Drosophila melanogaster: one gene and its partner. The protein of the gene in region 2 interacts with the protein of the main gene of each other region in a pairwise test. Each region holds a gene or a part of one and is shown on either strand. Other genes may lie near its edges. The genes, in order: Rgk3 and Ten-a.

The links.
Region 1: the proteins of Ten-a (region 2) and Rgk3 interact in a two-hybrid assay, tested with the Drosophila melanogaster proteins (one large-scale study listed by BioGRID).

Annotation. Positions count from the first base shown.
Region 1 is NT_033778.4:21,250,824-21,261,245, reverse strand, and holds the start of Rgk3 (Rad, Gem/Kir family member 3), read right to left. Parts: upstream 5,449-10,422; 5' UTR 4,943-5,448; intron 3,988-4,942; exon of another isoform or gene 3,235-3,987; intron 1-3,234.
Region 2 is NC_004354.4:12,123,099-12,133,720, reverse strand, and holds the start of Ten-a (tenascin accessory), read right to left. Parts: upstream 5,436-10,622; 5' UTR 4,807-5,435; intron 1-4,806.

The DNA of each region.
Region 1 (10,422 bases), on a different chromosome or scaffold from region 2:
TTCTGTTTTTTTAGCCTGGAAAGTAGGTGGTTCAAGGTTGGCAATTCATCTGCCTAAAACAAAGGTGAAACCATCACAAGCATTTAGCTGAAACTGCAAATTTGATTTGATTTAAATGAAAGTTGATTGCGGTCGAGAATAAATTGATTTAAAATTTAGTATGTTCAGCTTAGTATGTTTTATAAATCCACAATCGACATAGATGTGCAGCTAACGTGATTATTTGTGCTGATTCAGGAAATATTCCCCTTTAAAGCACATTAAAGTTCGTATAGAATGCAGTTGCCTATTAGCCAACTAATGCGTACATTTTTTTATCCGCCAGGAAACGCTCGATTTCATCTTGTCCAGCATATGACCTTGAGCCACGCCTCCTTTGTGTGCGAGTTTGTTTGGCGTGCCAGCGGCTTCCTTCAACATGTCCACATCCACATCCACGTCCTTGTCCGATGTCCATGTTGTTATCCGTGTGGCAGTGCAGCTCGTGTCGTTGTCAGTGGATGTTCGCAGCGTTTGTTTAATGTTTCCCTTTGAGCCCCATCTTGCAACAGGGGTATTTGTTTATGCTCATGGCCAGCACCTGTTGCTGCAAAATTAATTTCAATGGGTCACAAAGCGCCGGCTGCTTGTCCCAAAGGAAGGGTGGTGGGATCAGGAGTAGGATTCTCTTCCTATTATTTCTGGCCGCTGATTGGCGACATTAATCCAAAGCTAGTGGCAGCACTTTCTGGCTGAGATCTTGGGCCAAGCTTGAGCATATATAGCTAGCTCACTATTAACATTTTTCGCTGGCAGCTTGTCAACGCAAATGAGCTAAATAAAAACAAAAAGTTTTTATTGCGCATACGCCACGTTGTCGTTGGTCGTTTTAGCTCTAATGGGACAGCATGTTATTAGCAGCGAGCTATTTCATTTGCTCTTTCTGCTCTCAGCTGGGATGAAAACAAATTTGAATGATTAAATAAATTATCCAGCATTTGAATGTGACAGTGTGGACTAAGCGTGCGAAGAATTTTTATGATTCAAAAAATTCAAGCAAAAGAAGCGAAATATTTCGAAATCATTATGAAATTCCGTCAGCCAGTCGACTTTTATTTGTTTTCAGTTGACCAAAGATTTTCAGCCAGTCGACTTTTATTTCTTTTCAGTTGACCAAAGATTTTCGAACAGCTTGACATTAGTTTATGTTTATTTCACGCAAGTGTTTCCTTTGATTTCGTGCTTAATGTTCGATAAATCGATGAGATGGAGCCCGAATATAAACAGGGATTGCTGGCCGGAAAAAAGGCGAACGGCGGCGGGAATGAGCGAAATCTGCTCGAGAATTTACTTTGCTACAAAGATTTTCCAAATCGTTGGGCAAAATGGAGCTCAAGGGCAGATTATGCCGCCTAATGTGCCGTCTTCTTCGCCAGATTTCCACCGCCATTTTCCGCAGTTCCCCTCAAAACGCTCTGTCTGTTTGGTTTAAACTCGACGTCTTTCACGGTGATTATGACACACATGTGGGTGTGGGTGTGTGTGTGTGCGTTGTGTGTGTCTGGTGTGTGTGTGTGTGTTTATTCCGTTTATTCCACCTTTGGCTGCCGCCCGCTGTTTACTTCAAGTGGCATTCATTGGGGGTCTTACACGATGGCTTGTTATTCTCAATTTAGATTCAAATCAAGCCAAGAGTCTGGCCGCCGGCGCAGATGTTTACACAAAAATTCACTTCATTTAGTTTGCGACAGGATAATTGCGGCACTTTGAAGTGTGTGTCATAATTAACTATCGGGGAAATGTCCTTTGGCATCTGTTGAGCGGCAATTTGGGCACGGAAATAGAACGAGGAAGTTTGCGATTTTCCTTTTTTTCCTCACCCGAAGCGCCCGAATTGGTTAGCATTTGATTTCACATGGTCTTTGTTCGATTTTATTACGGCCATTCGAGGAATTTCTTTTGTTAGCTCTGCTAAGCCAACTGAAAAATGCCTTTGGAAGTGAATAATTGAGAGGAAATATTTGGCTGCGCTATGTGAGTTAAATGAAATCCGTATGTAGTAACAAAGAGGTTATGGAATTTAGCTAATCTCTGCTAACTTCGCAGATTATGCTCAAATTAACCAACCTCTTGGCTGACACAGAATTATTCTTCTACTCCAGTGATTCCATTCGAAACTATTTGACTGGAATCAATGGCGCCTCCTTTTTCTTTTAGCAACTATCAGATTTTCCAACTCTTTATGCCATTCACTTTGCATGGACACTGCTGACCCAGACAGTTGCAATTATGTTCGCCGAGGAAAGGGAAAAACAAGGGGGGGGGGCAAATCCTGCTGGAAGTGTTCTCAATGTCCATCAAAGCAAGCTGGGTGGAATTGGGAGGAAGTGGCTGCCGCCAGGGAAATACATAGGAAAATGAATAAAAAGTTAAGCTAGCCAGGAATTTATTCGCATTTGAACTGCTTGCTGTTTGTTTGTTTGGCTCGGTTTTGGTTTGGGTTTGGGTTTGAGTTAGGGTTTGGAGTTGGTTGCTTTTGGTCGCTGGAAGCATTTTAAGTGTGTGCATAAATATTTTTGTTAGTTGTGTCTGGCTGAGGAGGAGTTATTCAGCGGAAATGTGCCACCCACTTCACTGACATCGCAGCCACTTGGCTCCTGCTCCAATTTGCTGCCCAATTGTCACTGGCACTCTGGGCTCAGTCACGTTTTTCTGCTGAAGTAAAACGGGTGTTGTGCACGGCAAAAAAAAAGGGGTTAGCTCTCGAGAAATATGGTAAAATAATTAAATCACTCTTGCTTTAAAAAGCCGACAATAATTAGTATCAATTTTATTTAAGGTATTTGGAGCAGACTTTGATTTCATTCAATTAGTCAAGACTAAACTCTTTTTTTTTCTCTCACTTGTTACTGGAGCGTTTTTTACCATGTAAGCGGTTAAATAAATGATTATATTTTCCACTTACGGCAACCCTTTTCTCGCCAGTGCAGCAATAGGAACACGAAGCTGTCATGTTCATTGCTTTTCCGGGCGTAAAAAGTCCAAAAAGCAATGACAGGGGCGACGACATTTTTGGGGGCCAAGTGCCGGGGGTGTTGGGCTATAAAGCCGGATAACGGGATGGCCGTGGAGGCGGTGGACAATGCCGCGACCAGGTCGAAACCCGAATTCAGCCCCAGAGCCGCAGAGGCACGGTCCTTTGCCACCGATGTCCCTGATGCCAGGTGCAGGTGCAAAACGCTTTCAGGAACTTACCTTTGTTCCCAGACTGTTGGGCTCTGGTGGCTGAACTTCATGGTTGTAGTCAGTGCAGTGCAGTGCTTTTAATTGAATTTGGAATATTTTTACCCTCAGTGGCCTAGGGGGACAATCTGGCCAATCCATTTCGGCCAAGAGCTACGAATTTGGCTATGACCAGATGGGCGTCCTCTGCCTGCCTGCCTGCCTGCCTACCTACCTACTGCAATTAGTGGTGGCTGTTCTCTTGCTCAAACTCTAATGGAATTAGTTGTTAATTTGATTTGCCATAAAAGCAGTCCGTGCCTCCACTTTCATTCGTATGCGGGTGTGCTTGTGGCTCCATTCCATGCGGATCCTTTGCACCGGGGGCGTGGCCAGGAAGTCGCGTGCCAATGGTGCCAGACACTTTGCTTTAATTGGCCGGGGGCCAATTGGGTGCAGTAGCTCGAGATGGAGCAGGAGCGGGAGCAGGAGCAATCGCACACACATTCGAAAAACAGTGAATTGAAATCAAAATGCCGCACTGCAGCTACATTTACGTTTCCTCCGATTGCGAATTGTGGTCATGGACTGTCCTGATTAGGTTCCAGATCTCCGGGGAATTGTTTCGGCGATTTGTATCACTAATGATTGCCCGCAATAACTGCTCTTTGTTTGCTCCATTCAGTTTCGCTTGTTTTCGCTGATTGCGAGTGACCAGCAATTTAATGCTATCTGATGCAGTCCAGTCTATGTGGCAATAACTAAAATGTTGCCCCTTCTTTTTGTCTGTCAAGATATATATATATATATAAGTATATAGTGCATTGACATTTGGCTTAAAGTGAACAAAAAAAAAAAAGAACGGAATGATGAGCTGCAGAAACATGAAACTGCATACGAGTAAAGTTGCATGTATATGAAAAACAAACATGCCACATAATTCCAGGAAAATGTAATTACTGTAACCAAAAGTTCAAAAGCGGTTGAAAAGTAGGAAAATTAATTACATGGGTATGTAATTATGAAAACATTAGCTAGCTAAACAACATTTCAATCAAGTTTTTCATTTGCATTCGTAGTTACGCTGCGACTTAGCCACAAATTGTTCGTTTTTTTACCCACATTCCCTTGGGGCTTTTCTGTAAATTTATTTCAACGACATTTAAGGGCTTTTCCCGTCCCAATGGAGTTTTTACAGCTCGATTATCGGGAATATTCCACCAGCCTTGCCATGACTTCTGATTAAATTGTATTTTATTTATTTTATAGGCTCTTGCATTGCCGCTTGCAGTCGAAAATCCATTTATCTTTTGTTACACTGCCCGAATTGATTGTTATTTAGCAATTTCCCCCCCTCGTCAACGAGTGCAATGCTTTATGGCACCCCAAAGAATTCGTTCGCAAAAAGAAAACCATTTCGAAAGGAAGGACTATAAACCGATGGAGGCTGCTGACTTTTTGCCGTTGAATACTTAATGTGCAGGCCAACGCGGCGTATGAGTGATTTTTCTGTTCTGCTTTTGTTTCTTTAAGGTTTTTCCGATTATCCTGCGTCGAAAAGGAAGCGGCAAAAAGGGAAATGGAGCTGGGAATTAAGTAAACAAATCGAACCGCTGCCGGAAACGCCAAAAGTGCCCGGCCACACGACACTTACGCCAAAAGGTCTCTCAACTTTTTTGTGATAAATTATCTATTTGAGTCACGACACTACAATTAGGCAATTTAATTAATCAAAACAAACCTGTATTTCGACTGTTGGCACCTTCGACTATCCCGGCGCGTTACTAATTCTAATTCCAGCGTCCAGCGAAAATGTATGGCACTACTTATGTATTTGATCGATAATTGGTATAAAAAGAAAATTGTGATGGCGGCTCACTTTTTATATATATAGCGAGATAATTTTGTGCACTTGTTCACTTTCTTTTTTCTTGTTTTCCGTTATTTTTAGATAGATTTCAGCTGTGAAGTGAATCCGAAACCGAAAAACAAGCACATGCGATTTTTCTTTTTCAAATATTTTAGATTTCAAATATTTTCCACCACAAAACTTGTGTACGAATCGCAGGCACACATTGCATAAATATATATATTGAGTATATTATATTGTTTTGATTAATTCTGTTATTGTGGTTGGCGTATTTTCAAACGCGGTTTTCCAACTGAAAACGAAACGATACGTGAAGCGCTGGGCGATTTTCCAAACGCTTTTCACATCCGATCCGTGCGAGCGCCGTCGAGTGTTTGAAGCGATTTTGGTTCAGTTTGGTTTGGTTCGCATCTCGGTTCGGTGTGGCAGTTGGTTCGGCGCTTTCAACTGTGACGTCACGGAAAAGCTCAGCCACGTCACCGTTAGCTTTTCCGAGCGCATTGCTCTGCCCAACCACTCACTCCCCCCCTCATTCCACTTGCCGCGCCATTTGTATTGTTTGTATTTTTTCTTTACGACTTTGCTTTGTTTATCTTCGGCTGTCTCTGCTGACTTTGTTTTGAATGTTCCATCAATGGAGCGCAAGGATGGTGGAAAAGCTGTTGGGAAAAGGTAGTGAAAAGTGGGTGGGAAAAGGTAGTGAAAAGTGGGTGGCTAGCGGTTGGCAATTGGGCGGCAAATATGGGGCAGCCAAGGCGCTTTGGGGATTGCAACGTTTAAATCTATTCTTTTTTGTTTCCTGACCCTTTCTCTGTTGGTTCCTTTGTTTTGGTTTTGGTTCTGATTGTGATTTTGATTCTGCTTCTGTTTCGGTTTTGTTTTTCCCTTGTTTATAGCTTGTGTTTTCCGTTGGTTCTTTTATGATTCGAAATCGCTGACAGCCAAGCAATATTTAGAATTTGTGACGAGCATTATTTGGCATTTTATTAATGTTTCGATTTTGGTTGAGTACATTGGGGTTTTACCCATTGCTCATGCTCGCGGTTTATTTGCCAATATATATTTACATTTTGGCTAAGAAAAAATTAAAAAAGTAATTAGCACACGATGCTATAAACGTTATATGTAAATGCATATGTTTTTATGGACTGTGAAACAAAAAAAATATGAAAACAATTCCAGCCGTTAAATGCTGAATAAAAACTACATAAACCAAACGAAGAAATTATATGACTCATGTTATATTCTCGTAAAATTGTTTAAATATTTAAATAAATTTGTTTTTGTTTATACAAATTTTTCTTTTTGGTGCATCCTGTATTCCTGTTGACAAAACTCCAACCATTTCTCATTTGGAAATACTTGTGACATGCAGCACTTTCGAGCTGATCGCTTCGACTCGATTTGCAATTATCCAAATGACCAAACACATTTGCCAAATGCAGTGAATGCAAGTGCCAAAAATAGCGATACCAACAATAAACGCACCTGCTGCAGCGCGAAATGCAATTAATCTTCAGACAAAACTGTCGCACAGACCGCAAACAATTTCGCTCGAAGCAAACAAATCCCATCAGCGTCGCATATCGCATATGGGCAAAATTTGGTAAATTTTTTTTTTTTTTTTTTTTCTTGGTCGTAACGTCACAATATGTCAAGTTTTATGATGATTAAGTGAACGAAGGAATTGCACACACACACACACACGCACACTGTGAAAAGGGCGGGCAGGAAAAGAAAAAGGAAAAGTCCTTAAAGCTTAAGGAAAACTCAACCAAATGGAACCCTTGTACTAAAGTCAAATGTTGTTTGTTTTTGTTATTGTGGCGAAGGTTCATGCTATGAATACAGTAGAAAGTATCATTAGCTTAATTATTACCTGTGAATATGTAAATATGAGTGGTATGAGTACTCAAACTTTAACTAATTGATTCAGTTACTTTCTAAAATTCGTATTTATGTTGAAACATTAATTGTAAAAATTAATAATATATATACACACTTTTGTAGCGATGACTGTATGGCTGTTTGTGTTATTGTTGCGACTCCTGCCACGTGGTTGAGTACGATGGCCTATATCTTATCAACATGGGGTGTGTGCTTGTGCGGCACATTATCATAAGCCATGATTTATTTATAGAGGCAACCAGGTGGCACACACCCATACTGCGAAACGCACACAAATACACCAATGGATTGCCTTTGTCCTCGCTCAAGTTCGGAAAGAGCTGTCAATTGATTTACTTGACCCACATGGGCAAAAGCTCAACTCGAACCGACGAACCGGCCACGCCCACCCAACCCACTGCCTTTTCACTAATGCGATCAATATTTGGCAGATAAAAAAGCGGGCCAAGCTAAGTTGGCGCTCACAGGAAAGACAAAAAAAAAGTGGTTTAAAGCTCGCGCTTAAAGGCCAATTGTTGCTGCTGCCGATTGAAGGGAGGATAAAAGCCGGCACAGCCTCAGGTGTTGGTCAATTAGAAGAAAATTCATTTTCGCGGATTTGCCGGCTAACGAGAATTTATGTTAATTTATTTCGAAAAACTTTTTAATTAACCCACAAACGGTGGATTGAGACCGAGCATCGCAACTTTCGGTGCCGCCGCCAAGTGGCGACTTGCCACCAAATATAGCACTCAGGATTTGTATCGCTCGTCTTTCGCTTTAATCTAGCTAATCTATGCAAATGAAATGCGCACACCTGTCGGCCAAAAAAGGTGGAAGAGGTGGGTTGTGACCAAAAACCAAAAGGAAAAGGGAACCTCTTTGCCAGCTGTCTGCTGTGGCTTTGTCGGTCGCTTTGAGCTCGTTTTTTTTTTGGCAACAATTTGCCCAAAACTTGCCACGCCGCAAACGCTTAATTGCAGCTCGAGGGCTGTGGGTAAGTGTATAATAAGGAGCTCAGCCGGAAGAGGGAAAACAAAATCATGTCGACAACTGGTTTCACAAAATGAAGCTGTTGCTAATGATATTCATGAGTTTGTCTCTGCTTTAGCCATTTCCATTGCAAATGGTGGCAAATTTTTGGTGGCCTTTGAAAGAAATTTAGTTTCTTTTATATGGTATGCAATTGTATTGTATATATATTAAATTTTATAGTATATTTATCAACAGGACTAAGCTAATAGCTGTCAAAACCTTCGACTAGAATTTTCCATCTATCCATTTCCATATCCCGCACTAAGCAAACATCATAGCGCTCGGGGAAATCCCTTCCATCTTCCACTCGACGCGTTGCGTTGCGTGGCGCAAAGTGTAAGATAAATGGAGGCTGTAAAAGTGGAGCACTTCGGGATAGGGATTGCGTTCGGGATCGGGGTAAAAGGAAGGGCAGCCACTTTATCATAAACTCAACAGGTTAGCCTCCCTTTATGTGTGTCGTCTTGCCATAAAAGTTGCTGTGCTGATTGAATAAAAATTTCATTAAACGCACATTTTCTAGCAGCTGGAAGGCGTTTACCCTCCAATTCAACTGCAAATCCTTTGCAGGATGAGTTAAGGCAGCTTGGGCCGCAGGCAGCTTTCGCTTGTCTGTCGTTTATTTTAATTGCCGGCATTAGACGCTCGTTGATAGGCCATAAAAAAAAGCAGTTGCCTCAACGGCAGCCGTCAAAGGCGAAATGAAAAGATTTATCTCTGGAGAATTATTTGCCAGCCAATAGATAGATACTCTCTTTGAGGTTTGCCGCCCAGAAACCGCATGAATGATTTGTAATACATATAACGAAACAGGTATTACCCAACATCAGATGGATTTTCCTTTTCGCATCCTTTGTTTTAAGCGCCGCGACGGCTTCATTTCCGGAAAAGTGGAAGGGAGAGCAGCAGGTATCCAAGTGGCATTGGAGAAATTCAAGGAGTTGGGCACAGCGTAGTCATTGTCATTCCGCTTTTGCGGTTGCTTATTCGGTTGTTAAATCGTTTTTATGACGTATTCTTCGCCGCCGAAAATTTACGCTTTTCGGTTAACTTTCCCCTTGGCATTTTCCGCCCTCATTTACAATTTTCCTGTTCGCCACACTCCGTGTGAATCGCGGGCATTACTCAACCTTCTGTGTGTGTAGCTTTCGAGTGTTTGGGTAATTTTACAGATTTATGCAACTTTTCGGCGGGCAACGAAAAAAATGTGGAAAGGGAAGATAAAAGAGTGATGGCTATGGCTGCCAATTAGCCGGCGAAATATGTTTATAGTTTTGTAGTTACTCTTAAATTTAGTGCTGAATTCTGGTTTATTGTTATTTTCTCTTTGGTAAGTACATGCCAATTTTTATGCTAAGAATATAACTTAGGATATTGCTTACCATTAATAAATCCTTTAATTTTTTCAGAAGTCTGAGCAGTTAGATTTAAATTTTGTCAGTTTGATGTGTTAATCTACACGTAGATGTAGAATAGCGCCATCTAGTTGTTAAATTTGACTTGGTTCTGTTGGTAACAGTCTCTGTCTCTGTTATTTGCAGTGGTCTAAAAAAGGGGAAACCCATCATAGCAAAGACACGAGCATTGCTGAGACTAAAGCGAGGACTCGCACCAACAAATTTAAATACCAATTTCGCGCCTTCTGTTATAAATAAACGGCAGGATAATTTGCCAGGACAAATCCTCCCACACTGGTCGAAAATCATCTTTTGTTTGTAAAATAAAGGCACCTATACAAAATATCATGTCTAGACCAATTGTTTTTGCCATTATATTTGCACCATGACAACACAAATACCTGGAAAACTTCACCCCAACAACTTCGAGACGGCTACGGCGATAACGACACACTGAGAAAAAACTGTTATTGATCTGATAAGCGAAGATATCGGAATTATTTTAAACTTATAGTATACATATGTGCTTATAGCATAGTCAATAATCCTATATTGATTTCTGATTACTCCGATTACATTGTCTTAAGATTTAGATTGATATTATGCCACAAATTTATTTTACGTGCAGGTGAACACAGGTAAACCGCTCTCTGCGATTCTCTGCCGCTGTGTAGAGTTTCTTGCTCGCCAGGTGGGCGCTCTATCCCTCTTTTTCTGCGCGTCACAGGTAAAATTCAAACGGTGCTTCGTAACGTATTTCGTTCCGATCGCCAACGCCGCAACAAGTGCGCAGGTGCGAGCGGGACGTCAGATGGAGCGGCCAGAAAGAGACGGCTAGCTGGCGTGGTGGTAGACTGGCAGTTTATTGCGCTGAGCGTGGCCCAAACGCGAGGCGATCAGTTGCTCAACGCGCTTACCTGTCGATAGACGTGTTTTCCCCGAAAAAGGAAAAGCCGCGTGCTCCGTCTCGCTCGCTCGCTCATTCTGCGCGTGTGTGTGTCTGTGAGATTGTCTGCTCTTTACGAGCACGTA
Region 2 (10,622 bases):
AAAGAATATGATAACCATTCAAATGTAGTGTATCCAAATCAATTGCGACTGATTGTAATAATAAACACGTTTCTCTTTTATTAAGAATTATAAATAAATATTTGTGGCTAAATGTTGATATTATGAAAAAGGCATATTTATTTCTCGCTGTGTACGCCTGAACATGTGTGAGTGTATAATATTCCTTGGTGGCCAGCGAGGCGATGGCACGTGTATTTACGTGAAGTCAACGTAGCCATACCTGAGAGATTCGCCAGGACAGTCGTTTCTGCTCAGGAAAAGTCAGTGGAAGTGGGGACAGGAGAAAGCTGGGAATTCCCAAGGGAGGTAGTGGAGGACAGGTTGCCTCAAATGTTGGCCAAAATCAAATGAAATTAGCGTCGCAGTCGGTTCCGAGATGATTTCAAGATTGTATGCGACAGATATATACATACATATATATATATATATACTAGACAGTGGATAGTAGACGATGCGGCGATGGGCGGTCACAAGTTAATTAAAAGTGAAGTCAGCACTGAAATTAGTTAATTAATATTAAATTCAATTTGAGGCGTCGGGCCTGGTACAATTGAGTTATCAAACGAGCGCCTCGGGTCTTCCGTTTTCGCGCCGAACGTGACACTATTAAAATGAAAGGAATGCCCAATGTCCTTTCCACTGTAAAATGAGGAACGTGTTCGCCGGACTCATGAATCTCATTTGGTTGTAGAATAAACGGAGAAGGACCAAAAAAAAAAAAGGAAGTAGGTGGACAATCTCATGATCGCAAATTAAGCTGTTGGCTAAAAAAAAAACGTTACACACACTTTTGTGCGTTTATCAGCAATCAGCCGCTTAAATTTAAGCGGATGTTAGGAAATTTGGAAATAGTCTAAGCTTTTCCCTAATCTGTCTTACAAATTGTGTGTAAAGCATATTAAATCACCTATTTATGCTGCAACTTTTCAAGCACAATATGCGAAAGTTTAGCAGCTGATTGAAAACGATTACCATTCGTTTAGCTGTAAGGTTCAAATTTTCCGGTACAATGTGGCACACATCTCACCGTACATTTGTTAGAAATGCACATTTGCAATTAACCAATGAACCGTAAGGATAACTAGCATCTCGAAACCATCAATTAGGATCGCTCACTTGCGGTTACCTCGAAAGCATCCCTCATCTTCGCCAAAAGTTCACATATACCATATAGGTATAAATATATATATATATTATATATACATTTGGGCACACATCCATTTGCATTCCATGGCCATGAATCTGTAGGCGAGGTTCATGCCTAATCTTATTTACCCTTGCAGCCCGAATGTATGTAAATTTTGCAATTTGAGCACGATAACAAGGTTGATTGCGGCCGATGGCTTAATTCCCATTACACAGAAATGGGTACTAATAAAAAAAAAAAAAAAAATAAGGAGGAAAATTAAAATGAAAATGTCCGAGTAAAAAGTGAAATGTTTACAACCATTGAGAGCATGCTATCTGCAATCTGAAATCTGCGTGCAAATGCACTTTGCTTGTAGAACAAAATCAGTGCCGGCAAAAGATCCATTAAAGAAATCCCCATGCTAAATCCAAGGTAGAAACTCAGCACCTTCAGGGGGGATGGGGGGAATCTGCCACGAGTACCGTGCAGACTGAGCCACAGGCTAAGCTAGCATAAAAAGTGGCATCTCGCAACGTGCAACATCGGTCGGCTATATGCAACATCAGTAAAAGTCTGCGGCAACATCAAGAGCTCAGACACAGAAGCACATAGAAAATACTACAGAAAATCTACCAATTTCTAAGAAACATTTTAACAACCAATTAATTTCAAATGGAAAATCATTGCAACCAATGCAGCGTAATTAAGATATACCAATTAAAGTTCATTTTTCTGCAAGAATATATCTTCAATCACAAGAATCTTACTACTAAAATTTAACAGAAAATTGTAAAACAAATAAAACAAAAGAAAAAAAATAAACTAATTGCACACACAGAATAATTAGTAATTTTTTTACAAAAAATAATTAGCAGCACAATCATCAATTGTTGAAAAACACAAGATATTCCATCCGACTTTAAGGGCAATTAACTCGAAAACAATAAGCCAAACACAAGTGGCATGTAAAACAACAAAATAAAAACCAATTAAAATTGTTGCAAGCATAAAAGAAAAAAATATTATATAAATGTTTTGCTTGGAATGCTTTTTTGAATCAAATGCAAATGTACAAAAAATATTTGTTTCTAGTTGCAATAAAAACGAAATGCAAATGTGACTTAAACTGATGCAACAATAACATCTTTAATTTTTTTGATAGAAGAACAAATGGCGTAATTGGATATTAAAGAGTTCGCAAATACTTTTACATAGATACAAAAATCATAAAATATATACATAAATATGCAACTTTTAAAACTTAAGAAGACCATATCTGTCATAAATGCAGCAGCCAGCTTAAATTAAATCAATGTTAAATAAAAATGTATGCATTAAACATGTAAATAGTTTTCATTCTGATGCTACAGAATAAGCAGAATGTACGTAAAACAGAAGAAAATCGATGGCAGGTAAAAAGCGGAACAGAATTCCTAAAATTCACTAGGTAAAATATAAATAAATAAAACAAACTTTGAACGAGCAGCTGCAATGTAAACAAAACTAAGTCCCATTGTCTACCATTTGCTGCAATTATTATTTAATTTTTTTCCGCTTACACGTTGCACTGTTTTCCTGTGCATTTTTCCATTTTTGCTTTGTGGCAAAAAAAACAAAAAAAAGGAAACAAACTGGGCTGCACTCGATGTTGGTTGTCAAAGGAGTGGAGCGGCCAATCTGCAATCCCCGATCCCCAATCACCAATCCCCTCCAGAAAGTGCCCAGTCCAGCCACTGTCAATGCATTGAGCATTTTTGCCTCGCTCAAGTTGTCCGTGGCCCCGATAGTTATCATAAATATTTAATTTTCATTTTGCTAGCAATTCTCCGCCCGAGGAGGCAATTCGCCCACTCAACTGGCATCTCTTTATTTCCCGGGCTAATTGAGAGATTATGCAGAAGGCCGGGGTAAATATGAAATTTGTATCTCAATCAAAGTCGGCAACTGCAAGAGCTGCAAGTCGTCAGATCAGAACTTATTTCCATTTCAAATTAGTTTTGCCATCTTGCGAAAGTGTGTGTTTCATTCAGTCAGTTTTAGTTTCATTTTAGTCGCAATATTGATTTAAATACCAAATGCACAGGCATATTTATGCACATATTTTTGTTTTGTTTTAATTACCGCATATACCGGAGCATTTAAAGGCAAAATTTCAAAGGGCACAGTAGGACGAACATTTGTTTGCTTTAATTATAAATAATATTTAATCTAGATATTTCATTCGAATGGTCACCCCAAAATGGTCGGTTGTAAGCCGTGTTATTATTATTATTACTTGTGTTTATTATTATTATTGGCATTTTTGTGCCTCTGCTGCTGTTGTTGCTGCTTTTGCTGCTGCGGCTTAAGTGCATAAATAAACAGATTTTAATTTAATTATTATGAAATTCATTGGCCCCCGGCCGGGCTCCATTATTAACGGCATTCGATTCGGCATCCGATGATGATGGAACTGCCACCGGAGGATACCGATACCTCCAACTAGGATGTGGTGCATAAATCTGGTATCGTGTAAAATGCTAAATATATCGCCGGCCAAAAACTAGCACACACACACACACACATTCATTCATTCAGTTTGACCTTATTAGCTGCAGTTGACCAAATCGAATTAGACCCCTGGGTGAAAGCGTTTGGCAAACAAATTTTTGATTCGTTTACAGCGGCCATGGCAATTGTCCAGCTCGGTTGATTCCCGGAGTTTCGAAAGGTTTATAAATTAACAGGGGAAAGCTGCGAATATCTTTTCATTGCTAAATATGAAAGACATCAGTGGAAGTATTTACATGCCATTGCAGATTATATTAATCCAAAACTATTAAAATCCCATTTCAATAATCCGATAATAAGAGTGTAACGATTATGTTCGGTAATCAGTTTTATTAAGTGACATATTTTTAATTATTACTTTTTAAGTGCTATTCATTTACAGCAATTTCTTTTTAATCACGGCATTTATAATAGTTTATTGTCAATCAATGCTGTAATTTGCACTTAACAACCTCAAACGAAAGCGATAGTGAAACTTAACTACAGCAAGCCGAAGTTTGTATACGCTTTCGTTGATATTTAAAGCGATTAATCCGATATGAAGTCTATAGAATTATATGTTAACGGTTACTTACCCTTTGATGTTGATATTCAAATAAAATTAAAAAGATGACCAAACAAATATAAACTGCTTAAAAGTAGTCGAAATTAATATATAAAACTGTTAGTTTGGCGGATAGTTATGCATATTCAACAGCAATATTTTGTGCTATTTCTGAATTAGATAATGTTTTCAAAGTCACCCAGCAAATGTTAATTAACCAAGAAACCAAGAATGGAAATATAAAAATTAGAAAAACTCCCTAATTGGTAACGCACAAGTCTCCAATGAAGTTGACAATTTGAATGGAAATGTGAAACCCATTGAATTTCCATCAACCTATCAAATCACAAGCCCATTTTTGGTAATACGACAGATTGAAGTGCTCATGTCATGTATCCCTTTTGCTCCGGGCGGCAAGTGTTTAATGTTCCATTCTCGTATTACAAACTAAGCAACCAGCTAACCCAAAAAATGATCAATGTCCCCAACGGGCTTCGAGGAAACCGGAGATCGGATGTAAATATTTCCATAAAATTTAACCAATTATTTGACGAAAACTTACCTTTCCCAAAAACGAAACGGATATGACACGTGTGATTTGATTTCGGCTTGTAGCGGTGTTTTTTCTTTCTTTCCTTCCTTTCTCTACTTTCTTTTTTTTATTTGTATGGGCGCTTTTAATATTCACCGGCCATTGCCATTCAATTTGTTTGCCATTTATCAATGGTAACCGAATACCGACATTGCACACACTCTCCCTCTCTCCATCGGATATATTCACTCACACACTTTTCACTAGGGTCTTGCCTTGGTTATTTGCTGATTTTATTATATTTATTCCATACAAATCGAACCCAAAACAAACAACAAAAATTGAAAAAAAAACAAAGTCGAGCAAGTAGCGCAGTCGATTAGAGTGACCAAAAAAAAAAAATGAATTCAATTCGCGCGAAGAAGTCGACTCACAACAAACAAGAGGAAGACACCACGAAAGCGACGAAAGCGACGAAACAACAGACACCACTATTTCACTTCTGTGGGTCAAATAACACGCATACGCACCGTGGACCGTTAGCCGCCTAAAATACGCATACGCACCGTTGGACCGCTGCTCGACAACTGACGGCGCCGCCGATGCGAAACCGTGCAGATACCGACGTTAACTGCACTCGCCGATATTTTGGCCAAGCGAATGAATCCACACGCACATCACCCCGCATCAACCCGACCGCCTAGTATCCAAAGTTTACCAAGTTCCGAGTTGGTGTTTTGTATGTTTTCCACGACCCACGACAACGCACGAAGTACACCATTCGGTTTTCGGTCTATCGGGCCTTTTGCTTTTTGCCACCTAGCCACGACACGAAAAGCCAAACACATTCGGCTCTTAGCCATCGTATCCAGTGTGCGCATGTCACTAGGCCAAGACAAACTCATCCAGGGCCAACTTACTCAGGCTAAGCCACAAAATTGGCGCGCAATTTCAATTAGTTGATGTCCCTCACACATCCATCCATTGCCGCAATTTCTTTCGCACTAACCCCCCCCCCCTTTTTTCTCGTCTTAGCCGGCTTTCCCAGCTTTTCCGGCTTTTCCGGCCAGACGTCTGTTGCTCTCAACCAGCCACCAAAAGTTTTTGGCGGTTTCGGCCAAAATTTCCGACCCTGTTTATCGACGCTTAGTCGATTTAATTTGGCATTTAAAGTGGACACGTTCAGGCACTCAATGATGAAATCTGATCATCACAAGTTGCCGCCAAAAACGAGCGACGGAGTTATTCATCCGGCTTCATTTATGGTTAAATAGGGCGCACAAAAGTGCACTTACAAAAATGATTGCATTGTGCGGTAAGTGCAAGTGCTTCTCTCTTAAGTTTTCGAAATTCAAGAAATTAAAGGAAGAATTAAATTAGTGAAAAATATATTCGACAGAAACAATATGAGTAAAATAAAAATGTATTTTATAAAAAAAAGATTATGAATTGTAGTAATTTTAATTACCTTTATAGCTATTAATAAATTATAATTTAATATTTGGATTCAATATTAAATTAAAGTTTGTTTTGCTAAATGTTAACTGTAAGTAAAACTATTTTTTTTTTTAATTTCAGCCAGTGTTCATTGGCAAGTGTCTTTTTTTTTAGCATGTATGATGGGGGTTTTCATCCACGGTAGCTCTTTTTTTGGTTAATGAAAAGTTGCCACTGATGGCGGCCAAAGAAAATGCAGAAAAGCCGGCAAACTGGCTTAGTGGATGGCGTGGGTGGCGCCAGTGGAAAGTGCTGGGGTAATGGGAAAAGCAGACGGCTGAAGGAGCTGCCCCAGCTGACAAAGACCAGGCTAAAACAAAGGACCCCACAATGGCTGACAATGGCAACTTGTCGAGGTTTTGGGGTTTCTGCGGGGGTTCATCGTGGGTTCCATGATGGCTTCGGGGAAATTCCGGGGGCACCGTACGCTAGCTGGAAAAAAGAACAACTCTCACAATAGACGCGACCCCCCCCCCCCCCCCCCGGCTATCCCCGCATTTATCCACCACATGGCGTGAAATGTGGCATTCAAATAAAGGAACACTCTAATAAGGCTTCCTTTTGTTATTGATAGAAAAAAAAGAGCGAGAGAGCGCCAGCTACCGAGGAGGAAGTGCAGCGAAAAGTGGGGGTCACGGATGGTGCCGAATACCCACCTCCTTCTCCGCCCGGAAAAGTCGCATCTGCCAAGTGTGAACTACTAGTGCTGGTAGGGCAAAAAAAAAAAAAAATTGAAACAAAAAAACTGGAAAGTAATTTCCGGCTGCGCGTGACGAAATCAGTAGAGGGGTTAATAAAAAGAAAATAGCACAAAAAGTGCTGAATGAAAGAAACAGTAACTGGTTAATAACTGGCAGCAGCGATTTGACGACGAGCCAAGATTGCATCTGAATTTTGCCTGCCCTTCAAGTACAGTCCCAACAAAACTAACTTGTCATGACCATGCATGTGCACTCCGAACTTTAGAAACATAAATGATTTAAGTAGATGCACTCCGAACTTTAGAAACATAAATGATTTAAGTAAATCAAACACATCGAATTCCATCAAAACATTTTCCGAAATTGTTCAATGCAGTTGTGTTGACTCTGAAGTGACATTATTTAAGTTTTTTTTTTTAACCAGAAAGTAGCTGATTAGTTCCACGGGTGTCACGCAGGCTCTAATTGCAGCTCAATGCCGCCGGTTGGGACGCGTATCCAGTCGGGATTCGAATGCTGGCTACGGAAGGAATACAGGATGCGGGATGCAAAATTCAAAACCAGCCAGCTTCACACACACACACACAAGTCGCTTGACAATATTCCCCAAACAACAATGGCTGGCGGTGGCAAATGCCAAATGCTAGCTCAACCCCGATACCTGGAGCATTTTGAGTAAGCGCAAAATTTTGGAGGTTTTCCCACCCTCGGAAAAGCTTTGTATGTGTAAGTGTGTGTCTGTTCCTCGATTGCTCATAATGTGCTACTAATGCTAATAAGCATTTATGTGTCTGTGCCCCAGGCATCGTATGCATCAAGGAATCACCCATTGTCATTGGGCATTCCATAAAGAAAAAAAAACGAATTCAATAATCATCAGATATATGTATACTTTAAATATATGGGCTTTTAAATTGAAATCAAGCATTTCAAACATGTTTATTGGTTTACGAACATTTCTGCGGTTTTCGTTTTAAATACCCTAATACAAATTAGATTCATTTTGCACTCTACCAAACAAGCAAGTTGAACTCCTGATTTCTTAAGACCCTTGGAGCGAAACTGAATGCGGGAACATCGCATCGGGTGATTCATAATCCCCTTTAGTCGAGACAGACGCAGTCGGTGACTATGACTTCGGTACGAGTTTCACTGCGACTTTGGCAACGGTCCTGACTAAGGACTCCGGCGGAGGCTGCAAACGGGTTTTGCCGTAAACACGCTTCCAAATTACATTTAAGTAACACTCTCTGAGCTACAGCCGAGGTCATCGAAATGGCACCACCTGGTTTAACCATCTAACTTAATTTCTTCTCTCACCTACATATTTTGAGCATAACATTGGAAATAATTACCCAAATATGGAATGTTATGCCTCGTTGAGTTTGTTTTTTAATTTCCAATCGATCTGCATTCAAGTTTGGGAATTCTAGGATTTTTCAATTTTTGGCAAATTTTGATGATGTTACCCCTTTCAAAAAATGCGATAATTTGGCCAAAAATTAATTTTACAAAATCAATTAAAAAGTGAAAGGGATGGTTAGTGTTGATTATAAGGAGTATAAAATGGTAATTCTTTTTGATGTGAGGCAATTTTTAGTCAAGTTATAGCCAAAAAAGCGAACTTGAAAACTGAGTTTTTTGCCAAAAATAGTTTCCAGATTTTTTGTGAAAAAAATATTCGGTATTTTGATCATAACATTGGAAATAATTACCCAAATATGGAATGTTATACATCGTTGAGTTTGTTTTTTAATTTCCAATCGATCTGCATTCAAGTTTGGGAATTCTAGGATTTTTAAATTTTTTGCTAATTTTGATGATGTTACCCCTTACAAAAAATGCAAAAATTTACCCAAAAACTAATTTTCCTAAATCCTTCAAAAAGTGATAGGGATCGTTAGCATTGGTAATTAGCTGCTCAAAACAGTTATTCTTTCATCTATATGACATTTTATAGAGAAGTTATGACGAAAATACCGTATGTAAAATCAAGTTTTTGGCAAAAGCGATTTTTCCGAATTTTGGTCATCAAATAATTCGTTTTTTTGCCACAACTTTAAAAATAATTGACTGAATATGGAATGTCATACCTCAATGAGCTCGTAATTAAATTTCCAATCAAACTGTGCCAAAAAATAGGAATTCTAAATTTTTGCCATTTTATGCAAATTTTGATGATGTTACCCCTTACAAAAAATGTGAAAATTTGGCCAAAAATTAATTTTACAAAATCCGTTCAAAAGTGAAAGGGGTTGTTAGTATTGGTTATAAGGAGTATAAAATGGTACTTCTTTTTGCTCTGTGACCATTTTTAGTCAAGTTATAGCCAAAAAAGCGAACTTGAAAATGGAGTTTTTTGCCAAAAATAGTTTCTAGATTTTTGGTGAAAAAAATATTCGGTATTTTGATCATAACATTGGAAATAATTACCCAAATATGGAATGTCATATCTCGTTGAGTTTGCTTTTTAAATTACAATCGATTTGCATTCAAGTTTGGGAATTCTAGGATTTTTCAATTTTTTGCAAATTTTTATGATGTTACCCCTTACAAAAAATGCGAAAATTTGGCCAAAAATTAATTTTACAAAATCAGGTTAACAGTAACAGGGGTTATTAGTATTGGTTATAAGGAGTATAAAATGGTAATTCTTTTTGCTCTGTGACCATTTTTAGTCAAGTTATACCCAAAAAAAACTCCAACAAAATATTGATTTTCTTGCGGAATTTTAGGCTTTTTCATTTTTTTTGCTAATAATACAAATTTTTAAGTTTGACTAGAAACGGACGAACTAGCAGCGTTTATATTTGCGCCTTTTTTAGGCGGAGAAGTGACAAGTTAAGGCATTTCCTAAACGAACCTACCCAACTTAACTCAGAATTATCTTCATCTTCTGCATTTAAATTCTCATTATCCTGCGAGTGAGAGATGAACTGAGGCAGTGTGCGAGCGAGCCAGATGGATCGGATGAGCGGGAGGGCGCTATGTAGTAATGATAATATATCTAATATGTGCGTGAGAGTGTCCTTCAGTGCTAGTGTGTGTGTGTGTGTGTGTGTGTGGGAGAGGCAACAACTGTGCACAAATTTGCGCTAAATAATTTAATTATAAGGGCATCAAAAATAACAGCGAAAGAAACCGAAAAGTAAAGTAAACAAAAGGATAACACAGCAAAAAAAAAAGTTTAAGGTTATATCATATGTTTTTTGATTTCATAAAAAATTTTTATAAGTTTTTATGAAATAAATATAATAATGGAAATATTGTTGAAAGCTAAACTAAATGTAAACATTTTTACAATTTTGTTCGAAAATCAAGTCAATTAAACTCATTTTACTTCTACCAAGTTTTAAACACAAATTCACTTTTTGGACCTCAAAAAGGATATATTTTGAGGTGAGGAAAAGCAGACGCGGAATGCCGATGCCTCGAACAATGTTAGTTTTCGGTTTTTTTTTTTTTTAAATTCAACCCGGCGTCCCTTTGTAAAGCCCACCCACTAACGTCATTAAAAATTTTGCACATAATAGTTTATGCGTTGTTGTTGTTGCTGGTGTTATCGTATTACGTAATAGTTTCAAGCGCGCTGCCATGCGCTAATTAATGACGTAAAATATTTGCCCATCATCATCATCATCATCATCA